Linked DNA regions of Stegostoma tigrinum. The protein of the gene in region 2 purifies or fractionates together with the protein of the main gene of each other region. This does not show direct contact. Links are inferred from orthologs where the notes say so. Each region holds a gene or a part of one and is shown on either strand. Other genes may lie near its edges.

Region 1 (7,328 bases), on a different chromosome or scaffold from region 2:
ACACTATCCGTGCCTCTCATGATTTTGGAAACCTCTGTAAGGTCACCCTTCAGTCTCCAGTGCTTCATGGAAAATGTTCTAGCCTATCCAGCCTCTCCTTATAAATCGACCCTTCAGTCCTGCAACATCCTTGTAAATTTTTTTCTGCGCCCTTTCTAGTTTAACAACATCCTTCCTATAGCAGAATTGTATGTAGTATTTCCATTTGTGGCCTCACTAATGTCCTGACAGCTGCAATATGACTTCCCAACTCCTATACTCAATGCACTGACCAATGAAGGCAAGCATGCCAAATGCCTTCTTCACCACCCCATGTAACTGCAACGCGACTCTCAAGGAACTACAAACCTGCGCCCCAGGTTCCTCTGTTCAACAACATTCCACAGGCCCCTATCATCAACTGTTGGACATAAAATCCTACTCTGCTTTGCCTTACCAAAATAGAACACCTTGATTTAACTAAATTAATCTCCAGCTGCTACTTCTCGGCCAATTGGCCCATCTGATCAAGATCTCATTGTACTCTTAGGTAACCTTCTTCACTATCGACCACACCACCAACTTTAGTGTCATCTTCAAATTTAGTAACTATACCTCTTAAAATTTCATCCAAATCACAAATATAAACAACAAACAGTAGACTGAGAACCTATCTTGCACGCACTGCTGGTCACAAACATCCAGTCTGAACAACAACCCTCTACATCCACTTTCTGTCTCCTACCATCAAGTCAATTTTTGTATCCAATTGGCTAACGCTCTGTGGATCCCATGTGACTTAACCTTACTAAGCAGCCTACCACACAGAACCATGTCGAATACCTCGCTAAAGTCAATGTAGACAACATCTACCGCTCTGCCTTCATCTATCTTCTTCGTGACCTCTTCAAATAACTCCATCAAGTTTGTGAGACACATTTTCTCAGGTTAACGGTCCCCTCCAGTTCAGGTTCAGCCCAGCCCTCTTGAAAAGGTCACTTCTGCCCCAGAAGAGATCCCAATCATCCAAAAATCTGAATCTCTGCCTCCTGCACCAGCTCCTCAGCCACCCAATCATCTGCCCTATCTTCCTATTCCTACTGTCACCAGCATTTGGCACCAGGAGTAATTCAGTGATTACTACCCTTGAGCTCCTGCTTTTTAACCTCCTGCCTAACTCCCTGTGTTCTCCCTGTAAAACCTCATCCCTTCCTCAACCTATGTCAATGGTACCTGTGTGTTTAATGTCTTCCGTCTGTTCACTCGCCCTTTATGAATTTTGCTGTGCCTTCTCCAACACGTCCTTGCCTCTGGCACTAACCCAAGAAAGGGTCAATGCCCTTAGATGCTGATAATAAATAAGTAAATAAAGTCATCTTTGGCTTTTAGAGTCATTGAGATGTACAGCATGGAAACAGACCCTTTGGTCCAACTCGCCCATGCCGACCAGCAATCCTAAATTAATCTAGTCCCATTTGCCAGCATTTAGCTCATATCCCTTTAAACTCTTTCTATTCACGTACCCCCATCCAAATGCCTTTTAAATGTTGCAATTGTACCAGCCTCCATCACCTCTTTTGGCAACTCATTCCGTACTGAATGAGTATGGAATGAGCTACCAATTCCAGCAGCTCATTCCATACTCATTCAGTATGGAATGAGCTGCCAAAAGAGCTCATTTAAAAGTGCAAGGTGTACTTTTAAATCTTTCACCTCTCACCTTAAACCTAAGCTGTCTAGTTTTGGACTTTCTACCCTGGGGAGAAGTCCTCGGCTATTCACTTTATCCATACCCTTCATGATTTTATCAAACTCTGTATAAGGTCACCCCTCAGTTTCTGACACTCCAAGGAAAATAGCCCCAGCCCATTCAACTCTCCCTGAAGCTCAAAACCTCCAACCCTGGCAACATCCTCCAGTTCTTTCAGTTTTTAAAATTTTAAAAAATCTTCTCTTTCAAGTTTCACATCCATCCTACAGCAGGGAGACCAAGATTGAATGCAGTGTTCCAAAAGTGGCCTAACCAATGTCCTGTGCAGCTGCAATATGACATCCCAAGTCATATATTCAATGCACCGACCAATGAAGGCAAGCATTCCAAACCTCATCACCGTTTTCATAGACATCTCAATATATGTCAGCAACGAATCTCACATTTGTTGCTTTGTTCTGGTCATTTTCTATATTAACCAGCTCAGTGATGTTTTACACACTCTGGAGCAGGAAGGGCTTGAATCTAGGCCTCCTGTATCAGGGGTAGGGATTTTACCACTGCACCACATAGACTTGCTCTAGATTGTTACCCCATAAGCAACCTATTCAGATGTGAAACCTCTTATTAAAACCTCCAGGGCAAGGTGGGTGTTGAACGCAGGTCTCCTGGCTGAAAGGAAAAGGCACTACTGCTGTACCACATGGCCACATGTCAGGTTCTTGTTCTAACCCAGAGGACTAATACAATTAATGCAATTTGTCGAACATTGTGTGTAAACCAGTTACAGTCTCCTATTTACCGTCATACCCAACAAAAACACAGTTGCTGGAAAAGCTCAGCAGGTCTGGTAGCATCTGTGAAGGAAAAAACAGAGTAACGTTTAGGGTCCAGTGACCCTTCCTCAGAACTGAGGGTGGCTGGGAAAACGTCAGTTTATATGCAGAAAATAGAGAGTGGGGTGGGGAGTAAACAATAGGATTGAGCCCAAAGAGAGAGAAAGACAGTTGGACAGACAAAGGAGTTGATTACAATCTGGCTGGGAGGGTGAATAGTTACTGACTACTAACAGGAAGTTATAACATGGCAGGCTATGTGGTAACAAGAGATAGTAGGAACTGCTGATGCTGGAGAATCTGAGATAACAAGGTACAGAACTGGATGAACACGGCAGGCCAAGCAGCATCAGAGGAGCAGGAAAACTGATGCTTCGTGTCGAGCCTCTTCTTCAGAAATGGGGAAAGGTAAGGGGATTCTGAAATAAATAGGGAGGGAGGGGGAGGCGGATAGAAGATGGATAAAAGAGAAGATAGGGTGAGAGGAGATAGACAGGTCAAAGAGGCAGGGATGGAGCCAGTAAAGATGAATGTAGGTGGGGAATCAGGGAGGGGATAGTTTGATCCAGGGAGGACGGACAGGTCAAAGAGGCGGCATGAGGTTGGTGGGTAGGGGATGGGAGTGGGGGTTTGAGGTGGGAGGAGGGGATGGGTGAGAGGAAGAACAGGTTAGGGAGGCAGGGACAAGTTTGGCTGGTTTTGGGATGCAGTGGGGGGGGGGGGGGGGTGAGATTTTGAAGCTTGTGAAGTCCACATTGATACCATTGGGCTGCAGGGTTCCCAAGCGGAAATGAGTTGCTGTTCCTGCAGCTTTCGGGTGGCATCTTTTTGGCACTGCAGGAGGCGCAGGATGGACATGTCATCTGCGGAATGGGAGGAGGCATTGAAATGGTTTGCGACTGGGAGGTGCAGTGGATTGTTGCGAACTGAGCGGAGGTGTTCTGCAAAGCGGTCTCCAAGCCTCTGCTTGGTTTCCCCAATGTAGAGGAGGCCACACCAGGTACAGCAGATGCAGTATACCACATTGGCAGATGTGCAGGTGAACAAGTGTGTGGTAACAAGGCTTGGTATGTGGGGTTGGGAAGCTGGGATATAGGACAGTTTAGGCCCTAAAATTATTGACCTGCTGAGCTTTTCCAACCACCTCTGCTTTTGTTCCAGATTTATAGCATCCCCAATCCTTTCAGTTTTTACCATCAGACCCAATAGGGGCGGTATCAACTGACAAGTCCAATCACTATCCGTGTTTCCGTGTCAATCAGTTTGTCTTGTCCAATAGAAATCGGAATATGCGTCGTCGCCCCGCGGAAATGATCCAATCAGAAACGGATTCTGCCGTGTCCAATCAACTGCCGAAACCGGTGGTATTAACAGCCCAACGTGCAGGCATCGTGAACTTATTGGTCTATATGCCTGTCGATCGACAATGTTATCCAACCACCTGCCGCTATGGGCGGGATGTTGATGACGTTCGGCATGTCCACCAATCAGAGTGGCGATAGGGTTTGCTCCCTGGGCCTTAGGTTGGGTTCGACGCCTTTTCGAAGCCTCGGCGTAGGCTGCGGCCGCGGGGCAAAATGAGCGTTTTTTTACAGAAACACGATGTTATTTTTGTAAGTGAATCGTATAACTCCGAGATGACAGCTCCGAATTCAACATTCCTTGTTCGCTGAGCTGGTCTTTGAGGGTAGGCCTCAGCTGAAGCCTCGGCCTCGATTTATTTTGTTGGTCTCCCACGGCATTAACGGCTTCTTTATCACTTCCCCTTCAGGAACCGTATGGTCCTACTTTTTCTCTCTTTTCTATGTTTTGACTTAATAAGTAAAGTCGCAGAGCAGCTGCCCCAGTTTTGTCAACCACATTGATTTCAGAGTCCCAAGTGAAAGTGAGCTTCTTTACACTGTCTCTGTGTTGCTGCTCAGTAGTTGTTGGAGCTGACAGGCAGTCATATTGCTACTGGCTGATCGGAGGTAATTTGTTCGCCCTCGAGAGAGCCGGCATGTGAAAGGAAGAATTTGAATTTATATAGTGCCTTTTTTCAGCCTCAAAATCCCTACAGTGTAGAAGCAGGCCTTTCAGCCCTCGCTGACCTTCCGGAGAGCATCCCATCCAGATACCACTCACTCATCACCACCTCCCCAGCCTCATTTTCCATGGTTAACCCACTTAGCCTGCACAACCCTGAACACTATGGGCAATGTAGTATGGCCAGTATACCCTAACCTGGACGTCTTTGGACTGTGGGAGGAAACCCACATAGACACAGGGAGAATGTGAAAACTCTACACAGACAATTGCTTGGGGGTGGAATCAAGCCCATGGAAGGGCCTAGGCCCGAAGCGTCAGCTTTCCGGCACCGATGCTGCTGCTGCTTGGCCTGCTGTATTCATCCAGCTCTACACCTTGTTATCCCATGTCACTGGCACTGTGAGGCAGCAGTGCTAACCACTGAGCCAGCCTACCAACATCTCATCCGCACTCCATGACCAATGATGTGCTTCACTCGTGTCAGATATGAAATACAGCAGCTATATGTTCTACAGCAAGCTCCCACAGATAGCAGTGTAATTATGAGCAGATCATTATGTCATGTTAGCTGACTAGGACACTGGGGAGAGATACCAGTGCTCAGAAATAGCACCATGGGATCTTTCACATTCACCTGCTAGAGCTGACAGAGCCTCAGTTTATGAATATATGAAATAGAAGCAGGAATAGGTCATTTAAATCCTCAACCTGTATGGAACGAGCTGTCAGAGGAAATGATAGAGGCGGGTACAATTACAACATTTAAAAGACGTTTGAACAGGTACATTGAAAGGAAAGGATTAGAGGTATAAGGTTTAAACGCAGTCAAATGGGGCTAGTTCAGTTTAGGACACCTGGTTGGCATGAACGCGTTGGACCAAAGGGTCTGTTTCCATGCTGTATGACTCTCTTTAAGTCTGCTCAACCATTCAGAAAGGTAATGGCAATACCAACTCCTGCTGACCCACCAGTGACCTTTTGACCTTGTGTGAACAGTGGTGGCACTGACAGCACAGCCCTCCTTCGGGACTCAGCTGGGAGCATCAGCCTTGAATATTGTGCTGAAATCCTAGACTGGGATTTGAACTCAAATGACGTGTAATCAACAATAGCTTCAGTAAGTAATACATTTGAAGGAAGCATTTTGCGACTGACAGATGATTCTTTTCCATAGTTTACACTTCAGTTCTTTAGATTGCAGTACTCAGCTTCAAGAAGATACTTCTCAAAAACTATATTTGCACTGAATGCTGAAAATTGGCCTACAAATCTTTAATTCTGTAAACCTAACTTGTCGACTTAAAAATGATTGTCAGCAGATACGACAGTTGTGGAAAAGAAACCTGAGATTTGATACCAGTTAAGTACCTTACTGCATTGGTAAACATTGTATAAACAGGGCAGCCCCAGCAAAAGATTGTCTTCAACTATCCTTTGTCAAATGTTTACAAAATTGCTGTTTGTTGCTCAAGTCAAATACTTCAGTCTTGCTGTTCGTGTTCCCAAAATACATTTGGAGTGTCAGGATTGTAAATTCTTGATATGCCATTTGGTTACAGCTTGGGCTTGGCTGTTACAAGTAACACCAAGCTGAACACAAATTGCTGCGTGAACTAATTGTATAATTCCAAGTTAAATGCTAAGTACAAAAACATTTTCTTTCTTCAGAAGTGCGTTAGAAAGTTCACAAAGAAGTTTCGAAGAACTTTTTGTAATAGATAAATTGATAGTGACAGATCAGTTTTACTTTATCAAGTTGCTGTTTGTGTTGTCAAAGGTGACATTTTACATGCTGTCAGTGCCACATTTTCCCCGAGAGTCTGATAGCTGGTGACTTGCGTGCATCCCCTGGGCTTCATTCTGTCCACTTGTTTGAATCTCTTTGACAGGAAGATGATGATCTGCCATATGAAGAAGAGATCATTCGCAATCCTTACTCTGTTAAATGCTGGATCCGCTACATAGAGTTTAAGCAGTCTGCACCCATACATGTGGTGAACATGATTTACGAGAGAGCGCTTAAAGAACTTCCTGGCAGGTATTGTTTCTTAGTGGAAGCAACAAGGTCTAGTGATTACATGGGGGCATTAGAGACTTTTGAGATCAACACCTGACAGAAGCTGAGATAACAAGGTGTAAAGCTGGATGAACACAGCAGGCCAAGCAGCATCAGAGGAGCAGGAAGGCTGATGTTTTGGGCCTAGACAAATGTCAGCCTTCCTGTTCCCCAGATGCTGCTTGGCCTGCTGTGTTCATCCAGCTTTACACCTTGTTATCTCAGATTCTCCAGCATCTGCAGTTCCTACTATCACTAACAGAAGCTAATGGTTTGTTCAAAAGATCAAAGATTAAGCATAGATCAAATTTTGTATCTTGTCTGCATCAATCACACAGTTTATGCAAAAGAATTTTGCCTTGTGATGTGTCAGTTGCTGGTGTTTTTAATAATCCTTGATAGCAGTGGTTTACATGTAACTGGAATTAACAGCTTTCGCCCACTTGGAGCTTTTGCTTCAGAGGTGTACGGTCAGCTCACTTAGTGAAGCACTTTAATGATGTGCATCTGAGGAAAACTAAATATATCAATTTTAAATTACAACAAGTTGCGTGGAGTGTAAAAGCACAGAAGCAGGCTATTCGGTTTATCAGGTCAATGGTGGTGTTTCTGCTGCTGTGTAGAAAACTCGTTCCGCAACAGAGCTTGATCAATGTGATGTCTATTCCTTTATCCAGCTTCTCCCTAAAGGTGTTGATTGTTTTCACCTCAGCTCTTC
Region 2 (7,417 bases):
TGACATGTAGGATTAGTCCTGTGACCCTTCTCTGCTTGAATGTTTCCCACTCATCTTTCTGACCAAAGCTAAACACAACCTTCAACGTATGGTATGAGTGGAGTGTGTTAGCTAAAATTTTAGCTTCATGTTTATACCATTTCATTTGGCAGTGATATTCAGTATTTTGTGCCCTTTCTTCTTGATTGCTGCTCTGCAAATGACTGGATATTGTAACTGTTGATTCTCATATCATTGCTAGATATTGATCACTCTTTCTCCCAGCTAGCCCATTACCCAATTTTAAGAAAATTATAGTACAGAGATAAGTTAGTCCAATGCTAATAATCTCATATTTCATCTTTTTTGTGTCAAACCTGCCAAGAATTTCCATTAATTCTCTTCTTTGTTACTTACAACTAATTCCTTATCCACCTCTAAGATTTCCCCAAGATACCCATCCTTTTAAGGTGATATAGCAGTATTCCAACCATAGTTCAACCAAGGTGTTTGGCTTTCTGAAAGGATGGTACTCGGTATTACAGGACTTTCCATTATCAATTTGGGATATGTCACAAAGTTTCGAGGGGAAAGATTGCTTCTGGATGAACAGGTCTGGACAAACAAACAAATTTATTTAATCATTCTCTTGAAAATAGTTATTTTATTATTCAAATGTTTTTTGGATCACTAAATTACATTTGATGACATTTAATTAATATCATAAAATTTAACCTTGGAATTTAAATCTTTCAACACCTGTTTTTATGTGGTCCGGGATCAACAACAGCCTGTGAACAGAGTTGCTACAACAATAAAAGAAATAGACAATATTTGTACAGGTACTTCCAAAATATTTGAGTAATTTTCAAAAACTCCATTCAGAGAAATCAACATCTCAGCATAGAACAATTACTGAAAACAGCAGCAACAGAACAATGTAAGTAAGTGTGGATCTTAGGCATATCCTCATTGAGTATTACCTCAATTAATGAAAAATAAGTCACTTCTATTTTGGCAAAATTGAGGCACAAAAATAATGGGTTAAGTGGTCAGAAGGAAGTAAACATCTGCTGACATTCTATGTGCATGAGGCATTACCACTGTAGATTGTGATTGTTTCCAGCATGAATTATTGTGAGCATGTTTGGTACTTTCTGGAGAAAAGCCAAAGAACAACTTGTACCTTACCTGTCAATCACCAACTCAAATAGCACAATATGAGAATGCTGTGTGAACTCTGGGTCATCTTCTACATAATCAAAACGGTTCAATAAAGTAACAAGATCCAAATCACATGATGTTTTATCTGGAAACTTCCATGATGGATAGCGAACTGCACCAACTCGTGAAAATACATCTATGATTATCCCTTGTACATCTGTGACATCCTTGCGCAAACCATCCAAACAGTTTTGATTTCCTAAAAGTAGTGTCATTTTAATGGCCTTGAAATCAGAATATGAAATGCACCTTCTTATGAAAATTGAAACTGCTATTTCTGTATAAAGTATCTGAGCCTGTAATAATAACTCCACGAGGGCAATTTATCTGCAAGAAATAGAAAATAATTAGATTAAGAAAGTTGATTCAACGATTTTAAGCAAATATCACCTTTAAGTTGTAATTTAATGTAAATACAGTATTGTTTACTTTGTACTAACCTTATAAAATATCTGCTACCAGATTAAAAATATTTTCACACGACTTAATGCACAATATGATCTACAAATTATTGCAAGTATAAGTCTACATACAAAGCAGTAATATTTAATATGTTGGCAGTTGCTGTCAAAAGAATTGACAGAATTTTACACGAACCACAGTGATAATGAACGTTCATAGTTTTCCAGTAGTGCTGGTTTACTAATATCACACATGACAATAAAAATATCTGCCCAACAGCCATTACTACTAATATTTATGTTTCCTAAATGAAAGAATTAGGCATGGAATTCAATTTTTGGGTAATTTAAAAAATTATTTCCTGAAGTTAATAGTTGTTTATTAACAATAGGATTTAATGGAACTGATGGAGGGGGAAAATGCAAGTCCCTTACACCATGCTTTATATGCAGAAATTGCAACCATTCTAACAGCTTTCTGATTTATAATTCTGCAGTAGAATGTTGTATTGGAGTAATCACAATTCTGTAGCCTTGATTGAGAACAAAACCAACTACTGTTATAGATACAAAAGCATCTTGGTAATTTCTGCATCTTGCATAAATACTTAAAAAGATCCTTCTTTACATTATTTTTCTGGAGGAATTCAGTGGAAGGAGGGATGACAGAGGAAATTAGATAAGGCTCATTATTCATCGTCCAAGAAGTTGAAGTAGTTGTTTGGGGCTGACAAAGAGAAGAAAAGATTATATTTGGCAGCAGTGTCTTCTATTGTTTAAAAAAATCTGCTCACACGATGAAAGAGTCAGTTGGACGAAGAATCAACAGTTAGCATGTTCATGGGCCTTCTTGGGATTCAAATACTAGGTCGTATAGGTTTAAGGTGAGGGGGCCAAGTTTAAAGGAGATATGCGAGGCAAATTTTTATTTTTACACAGTGGGTGGTGCGTGCCTGGAATGCACTGCAAAGAAGAGTGGTTAAGCAGACACAACAGCACTGTGTAAGAGGCATTTAGACAGACACATGAACAGGCAGGGAGTAGAGGGCTAAAGACTATGTGCAGACAGATGAGAATAGTTTAGAACAGCATCATGGTCAGCACAGACATGTTGAGGCAAAGAGCCTGTTTCAGTGTTGCACAGTTCTATGTTCTATCTTCCGACATCAGGAAAGATGGACCAAAAGCAGCATTTCCCAAGTCAATTTGTCCAGCATCATGACTGATCAATTAAAACTAGCTCGATGAGGTAAGACATGTTGTTCATAGCCTGACACCAGGCTCCTGAAGCAACTGCTCTACTCAGAACTTGCTTATAAGAACATAGGAACAGGAGTAGTCCTTTGAACTTGATCCACCATTCAATGAGACATGGCTGATCTGTGGCCTAAATTCCCACATACCTATCTTTGGTCCACATCCCATTAATACCTTTGCTTAACAAAAATGTATCTACCTCAGATTTAAAATTGGCTACTGATTTAACATCAATTACTGTCTGCAGAAGAGTTCTAAACCTCTATCACCCTCTGTGTGTCTAGACGTGCTTCCTAACACCTCTCCTGAATAGCCTGCCCCTAACTTTTAGACTACATACTCCTTGTTTGAAAATTGCCAGCCAGCGGAAATAGTTTACCTTATCTATTCTGTTGCAAAAGGAAGACTGTGGAAATGCTTTAGGCAGTCCTTAAAACACCCTTAAAGAGGTCAAACATTCCCCTCGACCTGGCTTGTGTGGGAACCAAAATAAGAAGATTCATTCAGGAAATCGCTGAACACATGCAGAAACCTTGTTGAGACGAAGTCAAGGTTTTGGGTAAAACCTCCAAACGATTCCTGCACCCCCAGGCAGTCAGTCAGTCAGTCAAACAGCACCAACTTTGCCCCACATGTAACAGACTTTGCAAATGGGTGCATTGGACTGCTTGGACATTTGAGAACCAATGGAAGTGAGTCAGCATCAGTCCCAAAGCACTGCCTCAGATGGAATAGTATCTAGAGGGGAGGTTGGGGGAAGGGACATTGCGGTGGAAGGAAGAAGCACCTTGAGGAAGTTTAAGGGAAAAGCACTTCAGGAAGGAGAAGGAAACCTCAAGCAGGAGGGGGATGGAGGACGAATCACCTCGAGGAAGGGGAGGGAAACACATCCTCAGAGGGCGGGTGTGGAGAAGAGGAGCACCCCCAACGGACGTGTTTGGTCATGGTGGGGGGGGACGGGGGGGACGGCTGCATTTCAAAACCTCAAAGCACCCACGCCCCCCTCCGCATCCCACTGAGCCGAAATTTGCCCCATATTGAATAAGCAATGAATCATTCATTTGTTAGCACCAGGGTTCCAAGCCCAAGATATATCGCGGCGGCAAGAAGTGGCATGATGGGAATACGCTGGACAAATAATTTTAGGTATGAAGTCCTAGAATCAAGTTTCACCGACTCCAAAGGTGCGCCTGATGAGGTTGATTCAAACTTCGTCACTGAGCCTGTACCTACCTGCGATTGACCGTTAGCTTCACTCCGGCTGTTGACTACGTGCTGTCATGGACGCACGTAACGTAACTGTAACGTCATCGTGCGTTTACGTACCTGCTCGTCATAAGACGTAAGGACTGTGCCAGGCAAACTAACAACAAACACGAGACTTTACCGTTCAAACATAATAAAAACAGTATTATAAGAAAAGTAGTGAATAATTAAACGGTGGTGAGAGATGGAAACCGAATTAAATGTGTGGGAAGAACTTTTATGTTATGTGCATATCCCATTTCCCCCCCCCCATGAAGAGGTGGATGGTGCGGGCCGTAGCCGCCATCTTGTTTAGCCCGAGTTTTGTTCGCGGAACGGCTGGGGTGGGGGATTGCACTTCTAAACCCTGTTCGGTGCCGAAGCCATGCCGGCCGGACCTGTACAGGCGTTGCCGCCACCTCAGACTGAAAATAACCAGGTGGGTTTTAAAACAGAAAGAGGTTTCAAAAAAAAACCTTGGCCCGGTGTGGTGCCCCCCCCCCCCCCCCATCCATGCCAGAATAAGAGAAAACTGAGGCCTCCAAACCGCAGGCTCTGGGCCTGGAACTCGCATATTGGTCTTGGATCCCCGGATTCCGAGCTCGTGGCTATTATCCTTTCTCCAGGCTGTATTATCTGTTGGTTATGCAAGCTGAGTCCTGGAAAAATCTGTCAGGCGCACGATCAAATAATTCACACAAAATTAAATGCGAAAGAACTGTGGATGTTGTAAATCGGGGACAAAAACAAAGTTGCTGCAAAAGCTCAGCGGGTTTGGCAGCATCTGTGAAGGAAAAAAAGCGTTAATGTTTCTGATCCGGTGACTCTTCCTCCAAATGTGTGTAAATAATCCACACGTTGGCGGAATGTTAGTCTGATTTATCACAAGTGTCCGGTCGTTCAGAGGCAACAAGGGCTGTGTTTATCATGCATTAAAATCGGCCGTGTTGTCAGCCTGCAATCCGGATGGTTATACGTTACTTAAATAAATCCCTTCGTCCAGCCTGCACACATTCGTAAACAGTTGATAATGGGAAATACGATACTTTGAAGTGCTGAATATTGTAAAACAGCTTATGTTAAAAGACTTTAGTATTACAACTATTACTGATTACTTTTATAGCATTATGGTATTGTCATTAAAGTAGGTGCGGATAAAAGTTTATCTGTCAGTTGGACGGAGAAGATGGAGGTGAACAAAGTACACTACAGGGCACCTAAATTGTAGTCAAATTGTATATTCTCGAGTTCATATGGTCCAGATGTGCTCGATCCCAGTACAACAGTAAATAATTAGCATGGATCTTTACGGAACTAACAAGTTTTCATTTGCCCAATACAGTATAGGTAGAAAAACTGAAAAGAATGCACGTGTTCCAAGTCCAAAAATCTTAGGCAAAAAAATCCAAAAAGTAATATTGTTTGCTTTGCGGAGGGGTGATGGCAATTTATGATGAGTTAAAATTGTGCAGTCTACCATCACAAAGCACTGAAATATACTTTGCTGCTTGCCCAGGTAGACCACCTTTGTAGCATATTGACTGTAATGATATCTTCAGCTAACTAGGGAGAATTCTGTACCCCTTTGGCAGCTGTAATCCATCAATGAGACAGATTAGCATAGTGCTTTGGAGTGCTGTGCACTTGTCTGGTTTTAGTTTTTGCAGTATTTGAAAATGTTGTTCTCAGATATGTGATTTTGGAGCTGTATTAACCTGTTTACTCCAGTCCAGACCCCAGCATGATGATTGGACAACTGGTATGTCAAAACAGTTGGGGAGGTAGCGACTTCCTATAATTTACCTCAACGGCTTGGTCATCAGCATAAATTGTGCTGAAGTATATGTGCTGTTGCCATCCTAACATAGCATGAGTGTTTTTATTTCAACGAATGATGTGTTTTGGCGGTTAATTGGAACAAAAGTGTCATTTCTACAATCTGATTCTGTCATCTGCAGACATGAACTTATGATTATGATAATTTTTAAAGTCATTAAGCTGCTTAAAGATGATTAAGAATTTAGTGACACTTGTTTAATTTTCTTTTAAAGTTGCCAGAAGAAACAAAAGATGAATCTGCAACATCCAAACCCATTGTTGGTATTATTTATCCTCCTCCTGAAGTCAGAAACATCGTAGATAAGACTGCAAGTTTTGTAGCGAGGTGAGTGCTAAATTCCAACAACTGCATGTTGTATTTGCTATACTAAACCCTTTGAGTTTAAAAGTGCAAATCATTTTGCTTTGATTAGGAATGGTCCTGAATTTGAAGCTCGAATCCGTCAAAATGAGATAAACAACTCCAAGTTTAACTTCTTGAATCCAAATGATCCTTACCATGCATATTACCGGCACAAGGTTAATGAGTTCAAGGAGGGGAAAGGACAAGAACCTTCAGCTGCTATACCGAAGGTTATGCAGCAGCAGCAGCAGCAACAACAGCTGCCGCAGAAGGTGAGTAATTTGACGGTAATGATAGTTTGTAATTATGTAAATACTTCTTAACAGATAAATGTCTTGAAACATTTCACATGAGTATTAATAAATGAAATTTGACACTGAATATTCTGAGTAAATATCAGGATGGCTAATCGACAACTTGATCAAAAAGGAGGATTTTGGGGAGCATCTCAAGGGAAAAGAGAGCATTTAAGGCAGTGGCTTACAGAGGGAATTCCATACTTATAGCCTTAGCAATGAAAACATGGCTGTGGAAGGTGGAGTAATTAAGATTAGGAAAAGGAGGACAGAATTGAAGACACAGATTTTGGAGGGTGTAATGCTGTTAGAATCCTCTGAAATGGGAGGGGTGACTCCATGAAGTTATGGTGTAAATTTTATATGAAAACTAAAAATGCCGTAATTACTCAACAACACTGGCAGTATCTATGGAGAAGGAAGAAAGATTTAACATTTCAGTTCTGACTTTGAACCACCAAATTTTTATTACAATGGAGAGTGCAGGAGGGCATGCCATAAGCAGCACCAGGCATACCTAAAAATGAGGTGTCAACCTGGCAAAGCTACCAAACAGCATGAGCAGCAAGTGATAGACAGAGTTTTGTGACCCCGCAATCAATATATTAGATCTAAGCTCTGAAATCCTGCCACTTGACATCATGAATTGAGATGGACAACCAAACAACTCACTGGAGGTGGAAGCTCCATGAATATCCCCATCCTCAATGATGGAACAGCCCAGCACGTCCGTGCAAAAGATAAGGCTAAAGCATTCACAGCAGTCTTTAGCCAGAAGTGACAAGTGGATGATCTGTCTCGGTTTCCTTCAGTGCCCCCTAGTATCACAGATG
Region 3 (8,108 bases), on a different chromosome or scaffold from region 2:
ACACACAAACACGCACACACACACGTGAACACATGTATATACTCACACACACACACACACATGAACACACCCAAACACACACAGGCACACAAACACGCACACACACATGAACGCACGTACACACACAGGCACACAAACACGCACACAGTCACACAAGCATGCACATGTGAACACACCCACCCAAACACACACACACATGAACACACGTACACACACACAGGCACACAAACACGCACACATGCACACACACACACAAACACACACCAGCCACACACATTCCCTCTCACACACACACACGCACACACACACACACACACGCACTCACACACGCACACACACACGCACTCACACATACACACACACGCACTCACACATACACACACACACACACTCACACACACACTCACACATGTACAGACACACACACGCACTCACACACACACACACACAGGACTTGCCCGGTTTCTGCTCCAGGCCATGAGCTCCACCCTGGCCTCACCAGCTGTCTCCTCTACACTGCTGTTGCCTCTTGAGGCTACCTCGCGCCTGACACACACCCTGACGGTTCGAGGCCCTCCCGGTGGTGGACCTGGTGAATCTTTTCTTTGTTTCTGACGGTTGTTTGTGGTTTTATAAGAATTTTCAGAAATAAACACTTCACTGTTAGGAACCGAGTTGTGGGTGAAGAATCTAACTTCGAACTCTTTATTCCGCGGAGCATATCACGACCGCGCTCAATCCCAGTGCTGACGCGGCTTCTCCTCTTGAGGCCTCGGAGCAGAAATAGACCATTCGGCCCATCGAGACTGTTCTTCCATTCCATGCAATGGTAGCTGATCTGACAATCCTGAACTCTACTCTCCTGCGTTGTCCCCATAATCTTTGACTCCCCTGCTGCGAAAAATGTCACCCTCAGACCTGAACGTACTTCACGAACCAACCTGGACAGCTGTCTGTTGTAAGAAATAGCCCAGATTCATCATTCCCTGATGAGAAAAAAGCATCTTCCTCTTAATTGGGCAACACTTACTCTGAGATTATGCCACAATGAAAATCACATCCACCTTGTCAAACCCCTTACAATCTTGTATTTATCCATGTGGTCTCCTCATTTTATTCCCAGCGCAACCTTCTTAACGTTTCCTCAAAAGAAATTAACTCTGTACCCTGTATCAACTAACTGAACTTTCTCTGGACTACTTCCTAATGCCAACATATCATTTCCCCAAGAGGGAGACCAAAAAGGTTCCCCCCACCGACGCTCAGTCGCAGCAGTGTCTACCATCTACAAGACGCCCTGCAGAAACTCACCGAGGCTCCTCAGACTGCACCTTCCAAACCCACCACCCACTTCCATCCAGAAGGACAAGGGACAGCAGGAACATGGGAACACCACCCCCTGCACAATCCCCTCCGAGCCACTTCCCATCTTGATTTCGAAGTGTATCGCCTGTTCCGTCACCGTTTGAGGTCAAAATCCCGGAATTCCCTCCTTAAGGGATATTGTGGGTCTACCTACGGCACACAGACTGCAGCGGCTCAAGAAGGCAGCTCCCCACCTCACGGAGGCCAACTAGGGACAGGGCAATTAATACTGGGCACGGCCAGTGACGCCCACAAAGAAACCTACAGCACAGGAACAGGCCCTTTGGCCCTCCAAGCCTGCGCCGATCAAGATCCTCGGTCTAACCTGTCATCTCTTTTCTAACGGTCGGGTCCATTTGCTCCCTGCCCATCCATGTACCTGTCCAGATATATCTTAAAAGACGCTAACGTGTCTGCGTCTACCACCTCCACTGGCAACGCGTTCCGGGCACCCACCACCCTCTGTGTAAAGAACTTTCCACGCATATCTCCCTTAAACTTTCCTCCTCTCACTTTGAACTCATGACCCCTAGTAATTGAGTCCCCCACTCAGGGAAAAAGCATTTTGCTTTCCACCCTGTCTATACCCCTCATGATTTTGTAGACCCCAATCAGGTCACCCCTCAATCTCCGTCTTTCTAATGAAAATAATCCTAATCTACTCAACCTCTCTTCATAGCTAGCACCTCCATACCAGGCAACATCCTGGTGAACCTCCTCTGCATCGTCTCCAAAGCATCCACATCCTTTTGGTAATGTGGCAACCAGAACTGTACACAGTACTCCAAATGTGGCCAAGCCAAAGTCCTACACAACTGCAACATGACCTGCCAACTCTTGTACTCAATACCCTGCCCAATGAAGGAAAGCATGCCGTATGCCTTCTTGACCACTCTATTGACCTGCGTTGTCACCTTCAGGGGAAAAATAGACCTGAACACCCAGATCTCTCTGTTCATCAATTCTCCCCAGGACTTTTCCATTTACTGTGTAGTTCACCCTCGTCCCACAAAATGAATTTTTTTAAAAAACTGTCAATTAGATAACAAGGTGTAGAGCTGGATGACCACAGCAGGCCAGGCAGCACCTGAGGAGCAGGAAGGCTGACGTTTCGATATTTCCTCTTAGTTTCAGCAGGTCGTCATAATATCTGACACTTCATTCCCTTTGAGATAAAAGCCAGCAATCCATTTGCTTTCCCATTTACCGGCTGAACCTGGGTGTTGTCTTGGTGATATTTTCCTTCCATCCCTTCTGATCCCCGCTCTCACCCCTCGTTGCGGTCCACTGTAGCGGCACGGACTCAAACTAACTCACTTTCATTTATTTCGCTCTCGTGGACGTGTCTGTGGACCGTCCTCAATTTTTGTTTGACCATTTCGGAGGCCAGTTAAGAGACAATTGCTTAGAAGCGGGAGCACGTCACTGCTTCGGGTGTTTCCTTCTCGAAAGGTCGTCAGTGATCAGATTATTTTTATTCTACAGAATTGAAACTCAGAATGGGGGTTTCAACTCCGCAATTATCCCGTTTAATTTTCTTCTGCCGCAGTAGGAATCGACCCCACGTCCCAAGAGGATGATCGGGGATGTCAGAATTATTGCAATGATGATAGTTTCACGAAGCCAGTTAATTCGCCTCAATCCATGCCCCAACACTCAGCTACAGTGATCACATCGCACTTAGAGGTGCCTCTGCACTGTCCCCCATCAAACACTCCCCAGGGCAGGGAGAGCACGGGGTTAGATACAGAGTAAAGCTCCCTCTGCACTGTCCGCCCATCAAACACTCCCCAGGACAGGGAGAGCACAGGGTTAGATACAGAGTAAAGCTCCCTCTGCACTGTCCCCCATCAAACACTCCCCAGGGCAGGGAGAGCACAGGGTTAGATACAGAGTAAAGCTCCCTCTGCACTGTCCCCCATCAAACACTCCCCAGGGGAGGGAGAGCACGGGGTTAGATACAGAGTAAAGCTCCCTCTGCACTGTCCGCCCATCAAACACTCCCAGGGACAGGGACAGCACGGGGTTAGATACAGAGTGAAGCTCCCTCTACACTGTTCCCCATCAAACACTGCCCAGGACAGGGGCAGCACAGGGTTAGATACAGAGTGAAGCTCCCTCTACACTGTCCCCCATCAAACACTCCCCAGGACAGGGGCAGCACGGGGTTAGATACAGAGTAGAGCTCCCTCAACACCGTTCCCCATCAAACACTCCCCAGGGACAGCACGGGGTTAGATTCAGAGTAAAGCTCCCTCTACAGCTCCAAACTGTACATAAAACTCTGTCAATACACTCACTCTCCCTACTGGGAGAAAAAGTTATTGAATTAAACAGTGTCGGATGCATTTGGAGGCCGGTTTGCTGAAGATCAATGAGGTTGTGCTGAGTGTGGAGAGAGTGGCCTGGATTGAGGGCTTTAGAAGGGGGAATACTTTCCATTGTACAACTTTAAATAGACTCAGCAGTAGAAGTGTGAAAGTGGATGGAGAAATCGTGCCGGAATCTGTAGCCAAAACATTTTATTGTGAAGAGACGATTAGGAGGGAAACATAATCGATTTTTTTAAAAAAGCGGGTAAATTGCCGCTTTAAGAGGGCGGGGAAGGATGTGACGTTTAGGGAGAGGGGACGGGGTGAAGGGTCAACCGGAAAGTGGCGGCCATCTTAGTCGGAGGCGACGTCTTTCGGCCGGAGCGCGAGGAGACACCGGTCCCGGCAACGGGAGCGCGCGCGGCACGCGTGTCCGACGGGGAGGGGAGCGCGCACGCCACTAAACCCCGAAAGGCGCGGCCTCGGTGAACGGCGCGCGTTCCCGGCTCGGAGCTCCCTAACAGCGCGTGAACCACAAGCGCGGGATGTAGCGCGCCCCCGTCGATTGCGAGCGCGCGACCCTGTCGCTCGCTCCCCCACCCTCCGCCGAACCTCAGCGCGCGCGCCTACCCCCCCTTTTCTGTGATTGCGCGCGCTCCCGGGGGCGCGCGTGACCGACCTGGGACGCGCGTCGTCCCCCCTCTCCCTCGTCAAACATCCATCTCTCGGGAGCGTGACCGCGCGTTTTCCGGGACAGCCGAGCCGTGGTGCGCGCGACCGACAGTTAGTGCGCGCGCGCACCCACCACCCGCGGGTGCGTGTAGAGCGCGCTCACCCCCGCCCCCCACTCCCGCCGTGGGCCGTGTGAGAGAGCGCGCGTCTGCGGTGAGTTGCGCGTGATCGAGTGCGCGCCCCCTGCTGCTGTCAGACCCATCTCTGCACCACCCCCCCAGACACACACAGAGACAGACAGACAGAGACAGACAGACAGAGACAGACACACAGAGACACACAGACAGAGACACACAGACAGACAGAGAGAGACAGACACAGACAGAGAGACAGACAGACACACAGAGACACACAGACAGAGAGACACACAGACAGAGAGACACACAGAGACACACAGACAGAGAGACACACAGACAGACAGAGAGAGACAGACACAGACAGAGAGACAGACAGACACACAGAGACACACAGACAGAGAGACACACAGAGACACACAGACAGAGAGACACACAGACAGAGAGACACACAGAGACACACAGACAGAGAGACACACAGACAGACACAGAGAGACAGACAGACAGACACACACAGACAGACAGAGAGACAGACAGACACACAGACAGAGAGACACACAGAGACACACTGACAGAGAGACACACAGACAGACAGACAGAGAGACAGACAGACAGACACAGAGAGACAGACAGACAGACACACACAGACAGACAGACAGAGAGACAGACAGACAGACACAGAGAGACAGACAGACACACACAGACAGACAGAGAGACAGACAGACAGAGACAGAGAGACAGACAGACAGACACACACAGACACACAGACAGACACAGGGATTGGGGTTTGTGGGGGGTTTAAAGGCGGACAATGGGATCCTCCAAGAAGCACCGGGAGAGGGAGAGGGAGAGGGGCTCAGGGGGTGGGGAGGAGTCGGCCCGCCACAAGAAGCACAAACACAAGGAGCGCAAGCAGCGCGGGGGCAGCCGGGAGAGGGAGGGCCGCCGTCACCGGGACAGGGACCGCGAGCGGGACAAGAGACCCCTCCCCGCACCAGCCGCCGACGCCCAGCCAGAACGGCACCCCAAGAGGGAGAAGACCGAGGAGGCAGGTCAGAGATGCCGGGGTGACGAGAGTAATTGGGGTGGGGGTGGGAAACGGCCTAGGGTAGGGAATCTGCAGACCCCCCTGGGGCAGAGCACGGGCTGGGGGGCCAGAGTGTCTCATGTTCCCCCCCTCCCCCCCTTCCCTATCCGTTCAGGGTGGGCTTTGGTGTCAGAATCTCTTACTCTCTGCGTTGGGGGGTGCGGCTGAGGGTCAGCGTCGCTCCCTGACCCTGGCACGAGCAAGGATCGGGGCCAAAGCCCCTTCCATCTTTGAGGACTGGGGCCAGAGTCCCCCCCACTTTCCATGTCCTGGTTGGTGGGAAGGTTGGGGTCTCTCTGCAGTGAGGTGCCAGGGGAAGGGGTACCCCTTCCCCTATACCAGCCGGGGTGAGGTTGGTACAGACAGGGTCCCTCCAAGTGAGGAGTAGGGCACTGGGAGGGATTGTCGGGTGAGGGTCTTTGCGGGCAGCAGTCTGGAGGTGTGTGCAAGCCTCCTGCGGATGTGTCCCTGCAGCAAGCTTTAAGCTTTTGGACACTCCTGGATTCCAGGGGGTGGTTGTGGTCAGCGATTAGGAATGTGCTGCATGTCGAGTGAACCTGTTCTCACTGCACATTCTCTTCACCTTCAGCTCCAGGGACAAAGTCTGGTGCTGCGAGCGCCTCCTTGAGCATCGAAGAAACAAAGTGAGTGAATTTGCAGCAGTCTCGGGCCATTCGGTCCATCTGATCTGTGGTGGTGACTGTGGGACACATGAGAGGCACAGGGCTGCCCTTTCGGGACCGAGGGAGCGCTGTACTGTCGGAGGGTCAGCGCTGAGGGAGCTCCACGCTATCGTGTTAAACTGAAGCCCCATCTTCCTTGTTGGGTCGGTTATTTATAAAAAAAATCCCATAGCTAAGAAGCAAAGGACGAGCATCCTGCCTGTGTCCTTAGCGCCAGCGTTCGTTCACCACCCAGCATTAGTATCGCTGCATTGTCATTGTCATCCTTATTTGTGGGAGCTTGCTGTGCGCAGGATGGCTGGCAGATTTCAGAATTGCTTGATTGGCCGTCAAATGCTCGCGGTTGGCCCTGTGATCGGCATTTATAGAAAAGTGAAGCCTTCTGATCTAATTGTCCTCTGTTCTCTGCAGCAAGCTGAGAGCCAAGCTCGGGCTCAAACCCCTGGAAGTAAATGATTCGAAAAAGAGTGAGTCCAGTTTGTTCTGAAAGTGATTTCTGTGCTGTAGAAAGGGGGAACGGGTATCGGAGGGACCGAACAGTTGAACTGAAAGGGCCGTTCTGGATCGATTGCAGACAGAGTTGAGCAGAAATAGGACCCAGGCTACGAGTGACTTCAGTTACCTGGGGGAGGTGGCGGGGGGAGGGTTGAGGCGAGATTTGCTGGCAAACAGCACTGGTTGTGATCACGCAAGGACTGGGGGATTAATTCTACTGACAGGAGGGTGAAGGGAATCTGAAGAGTGGGAAATGAGATTTTTTTTCTGAAGTGCAGAGTTGTTGTAACTTGGAAAGTGCTTCACGAAAGGGTGGTGGGAGCAGATTCAGTGGGAACTTTTGAAGATAAATAATTGAGCTTAAAAAGTCCCAATTCCAGGACTGCGGGACAAGAACACGGTGTCTTAGCGGTGAGCACTGCTGCCTCACAGCACCAGGGACCCAGGTTCGATTCCACCCTCGGGCGACTGTCTGCATCTGCGTGGGTTTCCTCTGGGTGCTCCGGTTTCCGGAAATGCGCAGGTTAGGGTGGATTGGCCGTGCTAAATTGTCCCATAGTGTCCACGGATGTGCGGGTTAGGGTGGATTGGCCGTGCTAAATTGTCCCATAGTGCCCAGGGATGTGCAGGTTAGGGTGGGTTGGCCGTGCTAAATTGTCCCATAGTGCCCAGGGATGTGCGGGTTAGGGTGGATTGGCCGTGCTAAATTGTCCCATAGTGCCCAGGGATGTGCAGGTTAGGGTGGATTGGCCGTGCTAAATTGTCCCATAGTGCCCAGGGATGTGCGGGTTAGGGTGGGCTAAAGGTGGGAAATGTAGGGGTAGGGGAATGGGTCTGGGTGGGGTGCTGTTCGGAGGGGCAGTGTGGACCAGTTGGGCCGAATGACCTACTTACACCCTGCAGGGGCTCTGTAAACTGGGTGTGGAGGAGACTGGGACTAAATGAATCGCTCTTTCAAAAGGAGACCCACGGTGAGCTAAATGGCTTCCTGTGTTGTGTGAGAATGAAGGTGAGGGTGGTGCTGGCTTTAGGGTTAGAAAGCCTTCAGGGGAAGAGCAGGCCACTCACGAGAGATTTGGGACAGAGTCCTGGTGCTCTGACATTTGAAAATGGAATGAGAGTTTGGACCTCGAGACAAAAACCAGATGGAGCTTTTATTTTTCCCCTAGTGTTTTTACCCTTCAATTTAAGGTTGACAGCTTCACAGCTGAGAAGGCAACAGTCTCTTACTGCTAGACTTAGAGGAGGTTGTAAGGTCCAAAACCTCAGAGGCTTGGAGCCATCATCTTGGACGCGTTCCAGGGCATTGCGGTGGGTTGGCGTCTTTCAGGAGAGACCCCTTCTATGGTAATGGATCTGT
Region 4 (8,001 bases), on a different chromosome or scaffold from region 2:
CTGGAGAATCTGAAATAACAGGGTGTAGAGCTGGATGAACACAGCAGGCCAAGCAGCATCGGAGGAGCAGGAAAGCTGACGTTTTGGGTAGAGATCCTTCTTCAGAACTGATCATAGCTAGGAAAAGGTTGGTGTTTATGTAGAAGATGAAGTGGGCGGAAAAGGGGAGGAATAAACAAGTCTTGACCTGAAACGTCAACTTTCCTGTTCCTCTGATGCTGCTTGGCCTGCTGTGTTCATCCAGCTCTACACGTTGTTATCTCTTATGTCTAATCCATATGGCTACTCCACCTCTTCCACTATTTTACCTGTCTGTCCTGTAAACCTTATAAAATTATGTATTTAGTTCCCAATCCTGCAGCCATGTCTCAGTAATGGCGATTATATCATAATTTCTAATTTGAATTTGTGCCTGCAGCTCATTTAGTTTATTCCTTCTGCTCCATGCATTCGTATATAGAACACTGTAACTGATGCTTTATTCACCTATTTATTATTTGTCTCTCTTTATTTAATGAATACACTTCTTATAATATGCCATTACTTGTACTTAAAGTACTACCTGAACTCTTAGACTTGACTAGTTATAATTGTATCACCATGATGTACTGTACCTACACCTCAATTCTACAGGAGGATTTTCAGTTATATAGTACCTTTCGTAAACACCAGATAACCCAAATTGTTTACAACTGATTAAGTATTTTTAAACTGCAGCTGCTGTTGGAGAAAATGCAGTAGCCAATTTGTAAACAGCAAATTCCCAAAAATGCCAATGTGATGACTAATACATCTGCCTTTGTCATACTGATTGAGGGAGAAATATTTGCAGAATACCTCAGAAGAGGACTCTTGTCCAAAGAAATAGGCATAGAGGCATAGGCAATGGACAAAGAGTTCAATGTCATATTGTATCAGTAATGCATGAAGGTGGGAGTGCAGGGGAATAAAACTAAGACCTTTACTGAGTACAAAACATTCAGAGAGCGGAAGGTCAGAAGGGGTAGTAAATGCATGACAGAGGTTGGGGTTGGGGTTGGCGGGGTGCTGGAGTTGAAGGAAAGGAAGATTTTGAACTGTATGATTTGTTGGAAAATTGAAGGAAATTGCTGAAACACTACCACATTTTCTTTGGCGATCCTGTGGCCTTCTGGACTCTATCATAAAGTTCAATAATGTTTGTGCCTAAGTGCACACCACCCCACCCCCAACCATTTCATTGTCAGCTACTAATGGTCCCCATTAGCAGTTAGTCATTCTCCCACACTAGCCTTTACCAATTCCTTTTTCTGTCCAACTGGTGTTTTCTCTGTCTGGGATTCTTCTCCACTTATCTTTTCCTCTACCGGACATGCATATGGTCACAGAAATTTGAGGGTGCATACATGAGGATCAATGGTCGGCACAACATCGTGGGCTGAAGGGCCTGTTCTGTGCTGTGCTGTTCTATGTTCTAAACTTCATTGACTCTTCTATGAAATTGTGCCTTGAGTTTTTTTACATCCACATATGAGGGCAAATACAGCCTGTGTTTAAGATCTCATCCGACACAACACTACTGACACTTAAGCACTCCCCCAGTTCAGCAGTACTGCGCTGAATGTCAGTATGTTTTTTTGCTCAAAGTCTGGAGTGGAACTTGAGACAACAATCTTCTAATTCAATGGTGAATGTGCTACCAATGAGTTTGACTAACATTGTGCCCTAAACCTCTGTACCTCTTCAACTCTCTTTATTCTTTAAGATTCTCCTTAAAACCTTCTTAAAATCTTTTCCTCATTTAATCCCATAGATAGTTCAGTATGAAGCAACTTGTGATATTTTACTATTTTATAGGTACTATATAAGTGTAAATAAAAAACTGTTTACAATGATCGGATAAAATTCACACTCTGGTTCTGGCTGACTATTTTAACAACAAAAGATTAAAGAAAACATACTTCCATTGTGTGAACATAACAGTTATCAGATCTGGGTTTAAAGATGAAAGATTATTGTATTAGCCATGGTCTCATCGAGTGACGGACCAAAGTCATGGGCTAAATGGCTTACTTATGCTGCTCCATTTGATGGCCTTATAAACACTGACATGACATTTCCGAAAGTTAGTGTCTATTATTCATTTAACAAAAAAAACGGAAGAACTGCCGATGCTGGAGATCAGAAACAAAAACAGAAATTGCTGGAAAATCTCAAAAGGTCTGGCAGCATCTGTGGAGAGAAAGCAGAGTTAACATTTTGGGTCCAGTGACCCTTCTTCAGAAATGATGGTAGCTAGGTAAAGGTTTGTTTGTATGTTGTGGGGTAGTGGGTAGTAGAAATGATAAGTGAAGATGGGGCTCAAAGACAGAGAAACAGTTGGATAGATGAAAGAATGAGTAAAGGTCAATCTAGAAGAATGAATAGCTGCTAATGGTGACTATTAGTAGCTAACAATGGGTTGTGTGTGGTAGCAGCCTGTGATGGGAAAGCCTGATGTGTGGGGGTTGGGGTAAGGACATAGGAGAAGGTGCTCAAGGCCGAAAATTGTTGAACTGTATTGAATCCAGAAGGCTGCAGAGTTCCCAAGCAGAAAATGAGGTGCCTTTCTTCCATCTTGCACTGAGCTTTGCTGAAGCACTGCAACAAGTCAGAGACGGAGATGTTGGCTAGGGAGCAGGCTGGAGTGTTAAAGTGGCAGGCAATGGGAAACTCAGTTTTTTTTGTGGATAGAATGCAGGTGTTCAACAAAGTGGTCACTCAGTCAGCTCTTTCTTTCCCCAATGTGGAGGAGACTACATTGTGAGCAGCAAATGCAGTAGACTAGATTGTGTGAGCGCTGGTTCACCTGGAAGGTGGGTTTGGGCCTTGAATGGTGAGGAGGGAGTAAGTCAATGGGCAGGTGCTACACCTTCTGTAATTGCAGGGGATGGTGCCGTAGGGCTACGGGTACATTTTTGGAATGAAGGAGGAGTGGACAAAGGTATTCCAGAGGTAACAGGGAAGGGAATATGTATCTACTGGTGGCATCTCGCTGGAGGTTGCAGGAACAGTTGTTTATGATCCTGTAGATGTGGATTCTCGTGGGATGTTAGGAGAGGACAATGCGGACTCTGTTGTTGTGGGTGGGAAGAAAGGGCATGAGAGCTGAAGCGCAGGAGCTGGGCTGGACCTATCTGAGGTCCCTGCCAGCCAGGGAACTGGGGAAAGGACAACGCATAACTCATTGACAGCTACTAATAGTTCCCATTAGCAGCTATTCAATCTCCCAGTTTGACCTTTACCCATTCCTTTGTCTGTCTTTGGTTTCCAACTCCACCTGTTGTTTACTCTTCCCCTTCTCCCCCACTTCATCTTCTTCATAAATGCCAACCTTTTCCTAGCTATGATCGGTTCTGAAGGGTCACTGGACCCAAAACACTAACTCTATTTTCTCTCTACAGATGCTGTCAGACCTGCTTTCTGTTTGCATCTATTATTTATTTATTGTTTACTAATCAAAATTTGCAATTATGTACATGTCAATCCTTAATTAACCAACATGTAACAAATGACCAATATAGTGGAGATAACAAGGTGTTGAGCTGGATGAACATGGCAGACCAAGCAGCATCAGAGGAGCAGGAAGGCTGATGTTGTGGGCCTCGACCCTTCTGGAAATGTCAGCCTTCCTGGTCCTCTGATGCTGCTTGGCCTGTGTGTTCATCCAGCTCTACACCTTGTTATCTCAGATTCTCCAGCATCTGCAGTTCCTACTATCTCTGAACCAATAGACACCACTGAACGCTCAGATGGAAGATATTCAGAGAGCTGCAAAATTACTTAGGACTGAATTTTATCTTCAGGACTGTGAGAACCATAGCTCACTATGTAACCAAAATACTGTTAATGTTGGAAATATAAAACTAAAACAAAGTGCTAGAAATGCTCTCCAGGTCTGGCAACCTTTGCTAACAGCTGGATCTTCTGATGAGTGGCGATCGCCTTTGCATTGCTACTGCACTCTTTATTCTGCATAGGATCAGCATTGTAAGTTACACCCTATTTGAGGCAGTAATTGGTCTATTCCATGATATTAAAGTCGCAAGATAATTTGACAAGCTAATTTAACAAGGCTCAGAAGGGGGCAACGTGAAAGATAAGGAGTGTAAGTCATGGGGTAGTTTTTTTGGGGGTGCACTCCACAGTGAACTGGGGATGGGACATCAGATTTTAATCCTTTCCTTGGGTGAGGACGCGTTGTAGACTTTCATATTGGGTCGTTGAGGCTGGGTGAATTTAAGCATACTGGTGATTCAATCTTTTTTATATCACCAGTTAGCTTACTCATATGAATTGCCAGAGGAAATGGTAGATGCAGGTTTAGTTACGACATTTGAGATACATTTGGGTGGGTATATGAAAAGGAAAAGTTTATAGTGATATGAGCCAAATAGAGATAAACGGGACTAATTGAGATGGGAGAGAGAGAGAGAGAGATAATGGGAACTGCAGATGCTGGAGATTCCAAGATAATAAAATGTGAGGCTGGATGAACACAGCAGGCCAAGCAGCATCTCAGGAGCATAAAAGCTGACGTTTCGGGCCTAGACCCTTCATCAGAGATGGAGTCTAGGCCCGAAACGTCAGCTTTTGTGCTCCTGAGATGCTGCTTGGCCTGCTGTGTTCATCCAGCCTCACATTTCATTATCTCAAAACAGCACGGGGCGGTTTGATGAGGTCATCAACGCGCGACGCAGATGGTTGGTCGCGCGTTGAAGAGGTCATCAACGCGCGACGCGGATGGTCGGTCGCGCGAGTCGGAGAAAGATCGAGAAGTAAAAACCCTCGTGAGCGTGATAGTGAGGAGTAGGTATGGAGTTGTGCTTCGGTGGGGTCGGCGAATGGGACTGCTCACTTTAATAAAATAGTCTGCTTCTCCGACCGAAAACTGGTCTCGGTTGCTGTCTCCAGTGTTCCAAGTGTGTTTGGCGTGTAGTTGCAGTCGGGTTTGAGGAAACACTATGCCGGTTGTAGTCCACCTTACGTATTTGGTTTGTAGTAACCTAGAAGCAGCAACTCCTCTTTCCCGCCGTCAGTAATCCCGTAGCATTTTCCAGAGATGTTCAGAAATAAACTGAAACCGAAAGGAAGAATGAGGAAGGGCCTGGCGGGGTGAGCTGAAAGCCTGTGAATGCAATGTAGTATGTGAGAAGGTCGGAAAACATTAGTGCGGTGAGTTGTAGGAGCTTAGAGGTAAACTAAAGAAAGGAATTAAACAGGAATTTTAGATTGAGTAGTCTAGAAGCCACCGTAGTAACGCGGTCACAGTGAGAGGTGAGCGGAACCGAGTTTACGATGGGATACGTGTTGCCAAGTTTTGGAGGAGTTTGTGTTTTAACATGTGGAGGCTAAGAGCATCTTGAAATAATTGTTTGCGGACCAAAATTTCGGGGATGGATGGGCGAGGTCAGAGCTACATTTAAATAAAAAATATGTTTCTTCTGTTTTTGGATATCGTAACGTTGCTTTTCCATGCAGTAGAGAGGTTGAGAGAACAAGAGTGAAAGTGTGGAAGCATGTAAACAAGAAAGGGAAAAAGTCCCGAAATAAATACTAGTTGGGTTACTATTGGGGTAGTAAGTGGGTTGACCTACACCCTTTCATCTAGCCTGCTCAGTTATCTCGGATGGAGATTTCTAGACATTCACAACCCTCCTGAAAGGGGGATAGTCATCTCTTTAAAAATCCATTGTGGAATCAGAGAACACCTGACAATGGTTTGTGATTCTCCCAGCAATGGTAAAATCTTTTGAACACTTACCTTGTCAAGCCCACCCACCATCTAAGATGTTTCAATTAGATCAGCCCTTGTTCTTCTAAACTCTATAAAGGCCTAAGCCTTTGCTTGATAAGTTAAGGCCAGATCCCAGGAATCAGCCTAGTAAATCTGTTTTGAACTACGTGCAGTGCCAGTATATTCTTTCCTGAATACATGGACCAAAACTAAAGACAGTACTCCATGTGCAGCCTCACCCTGTACCCAGCTGTAATAATTTCCCTGTTTTTAACTTCTGACCCTGAACAATAGAGTCAAAAATTGTTTGTCGCCTTAATTATTTGTCGAAGCTGCGTGCTATATTATTGCATTTCATTTGCAAAAGCTTTCAGATCCTATGTTGCTGTCTTGTGGAGTCTATCTCCATTTTAAATAATAGTCTGCCTTTTGACCTGATAATTTGTTACATTAAATTTGTCTGCCAAGGTTTTGTCCACTCTCTCATTCTCTGTTCCCTTGCAGATTCTTTGCCTTCACTATATGCACTGCTACCTATATTTGTGTTATCAGCAAATTTGGATATATTACACTTTGACCCTGCCAAGCCATCAATATTGATAGCTTGATGGATAATATTTGAGACTCTGCAGCTCTCCACTAGTTGCATCTTTTACAACCTGAAAAAGTCCCCTTAATCCTGGCTCTCTCTGTCTTCTGCATGTAAACCAACATTTCTCATTTTAATTCATTGCCTCCAGTACTGAGAACTACTTTCAAAAAGTAACATAGTGAATTGAGGGCAAAGCGTTGGACGTGATTTGTATGGACTTCAGAATGGATTCAACAAGGTTCCGCATGGCAGACTGGTAGTGAGGTTAGATCGCATAGAATACAGGGAGAACTAGCCATTTGGATGCAGAACTGCTTCAAAGGTGGAAGACAGAAAGACAGAGGGTGATGGTGAAGAATTGCTTTTCAGACTGATAATTGACTCCTAAATTGGTGGTGAAGTGGACAGCCAAGAAGGTTACCTCACAGTACAATGGGACCTTGATCAGATGGCCCTGTGTGTCATGGAGATGGAGTTTAATTTAGACAAATGTGAGCCCCTGCATTTTGGAAAGGCAAATTAGGGTAAGACTTATATACGTAACGGTAAGATCCTGGGGAGTGTTGTCGAATAAAGCGACCTTGGAGTGCAGGTTCATGATTCCTTGAAAGTGGAATGGCAGGCAGATAGGATATTGAAGAAGGTGTTTGGTATGCTTGCCTTTATTGGTCGGTGCATTGAATATAGCAGCTGGGAGGTTGTGTTACAGCTGTGCAGGATATAGGTTTGGCCACTTGTAGAATATTGCATTCAATTCTGGTCTCCCTGCTATAGGAAGGATGTTGTGATCCTTGAAAGGACTCAGAAAAGATTTACAAGTATGTTGCCAGGGTTGGAGAGTTTGAGGGAGAAGCAGAATAGGCTGGGGCTATTTTTTCTGGAGCATTGGAGACTGAGGGGTGTCCTTAGAGATTCATAAAATGATGGCTAGAGTGAATAGGCAAGGGTGGAGGAGTCCAAAACTAGAGGGCATGGGTTTAAAGTTGGAGGGGGAAGATTTAAAAGGGACCTAAGGGGCAACTTTTTCAAACAAGGGGTGGTGCCTACGTGGAAAGAGCTGCTAGAGGAAGGGGTGGAGGCTGGTACAATTACAGCATTTAAAAGGCATTTGGATGGGTATGTGAATAGGAAAGGTTTAGAGGGATATGGGCCAAATTCTGGCAAATGGGACTAGATTAATTTAAGATATCTGGTTGGCATGGGCAAGTTAGACTGAAGAATCTGTTTCCATGCTGTGTGATTCTGTAATTAACCTGTTATGGGGCACCTTATCGTATACTTTCTGGAAATCCAAACATATTATATCTTTTGGTTCCCCTTCTCAACTCTGCTTGTTATATCCCCAAAGAACGCTACCAAATTTATCAAACATGATTCCCCTTTTACAGAACTGTGTGGGCTCAGTTTGATTGTTAAGCTTTTCTAATAACTTGCTATTTCTTTTCTTGATAATGGACTCTACTGTTTTCCCAAAGACAAGTGTTAGGTTAGTTAGCCTACAGCTTCCTGTTTTCTCTTTCCTTCACTTTTTGAGCAGGATGTTACATTAGCAATTTGCTTATCTGCTGGAACCCCCTTGAATCCAGTTGTGTTCACTAATATTTCACCTAATGCCTTCAGTGTGTCTGCAGCCTCTTCCTTTAAAATCCTTGGA

Evidence for each region.
Region 1: the proteins of sf3a1 (region 2) and xab2 fractionate together in Homo sapiens (co-fractionation; 3 studies listed by BioGRID and IntAct, with this or other methods). This does not show direct contact. The link is inferred for Stegostoma tigrinum from reciprocal best matches to the Homo sapiens genes SF3A1 and XAB2.
Region 3: the proteins of sf3a1 (region 2) and sart1 fractionate together in Homo sapiens (co-fractionation; 3 studies listed by BioGRID and IntAct, with this or other methods). This does not show direct contact. The link is inferred for Stegostoma tigrinum from reciprocal best matches to the Homo sapiens genes SF3A1 and SART1.
Region 4: the proteins of sf3a1 (region 2) and snrpb2 purify together in Homo sapiens (affinity purification with mass spectrometry; 5 studies listed by BioGRID and IntAct, with this or other methods). This does not show direct contact. The link is inferred for Stegostoma tigrinum from reciprocal best matches to the Homo sapiens genes SF3A1 and SNRPB2.

The regions. Positions count from the first base shown.
Region 1 is NC_081388.1:13,420,160-13,427,487, reverse strand, and holds the start of xab2 (pre-mRNA-splicing factor SYF1), read left to right. Parts: upstream 1-4,024; 5' UTR 4,025-4,103; coding exon 4,104-4,139; exon of another isoform or gene 4,140-4,213; intron 4,214-5,412; exon of another isoform or gene 5,413-5,671; intron 5,672-6,443; coding exon 6,444-6,592; intron 6,593-7,328. UniProt on the Homo sapiens protein: Involved in pre-mRNA splicing as component of the spliceosome. Involved in transcription-coupled repair (TCR), transcription and pre-mRNA splicing.
Region 2 is NC_081379.1:23,031,629-23,039,045, forward strand, and holds the start of sf3a1 (splicing factor 3A subunit 1), read left to right. Parts: upstream 1-4,400; 5' UTR 4,401-4,491; coding exon 4,492-4,545; intron 4,546-6,157; coding exon 6,158-6,270; intron 6,271-6,358; coding exon 6,359-6,560; intron 6,561-7,417. Other genes in the region: ccdc157 (coiled-coil domain-containing protein 157), read right to left, coding at 1,171-1,418. UniProt on the Homo sapiens protein: Component of the 17S U2 SnRNP complex of the spliceosome, a large ribonucleoprotein complex that removes introns from transcribed pre-mRNAs.
Region 3 is NC_081395.1:7,241,390-7,249,497, forward strand, and holds the start of sart1 (U4/U6.U5 tri-snRNP-associated protein 1), read left to right. Parts: upstream 1-5,006; 5' UTR 5,007-5,294; coding exon 5,295-5,535; intron 5,536-6,159; coding exon 6,160-6,214; intron 6,215-6,664; coding exon 6,665-6,720; intron 6,721-8,108. UniProt on the Homo sapiens protein: Plays a role in mRNA splicing as a component of the U4/U6-U5 tri-snRNP, one of the building blocks of the spliceosome. May also bind to DNA.
Region 4 is NC_081371.1:23,725,055-23,733,055, forward strand, and holds the start of snrpb2 (U2 small nuclear ribonucleoprotein B''), read left to right. Parts: upstream 1-4,717; 5' UTR 4,718-4,831; intron 4,832-5,092; exon of another isoform or gene 5,093-5,193; intron 5,194-8,001. UniProt on the Homo sapiens protein: Involved in pre-mRNA splicing as component of the spliceosome. Associated with sn-RNP U2, where it contributes to the binding of stem loop IV of U2 snRNA.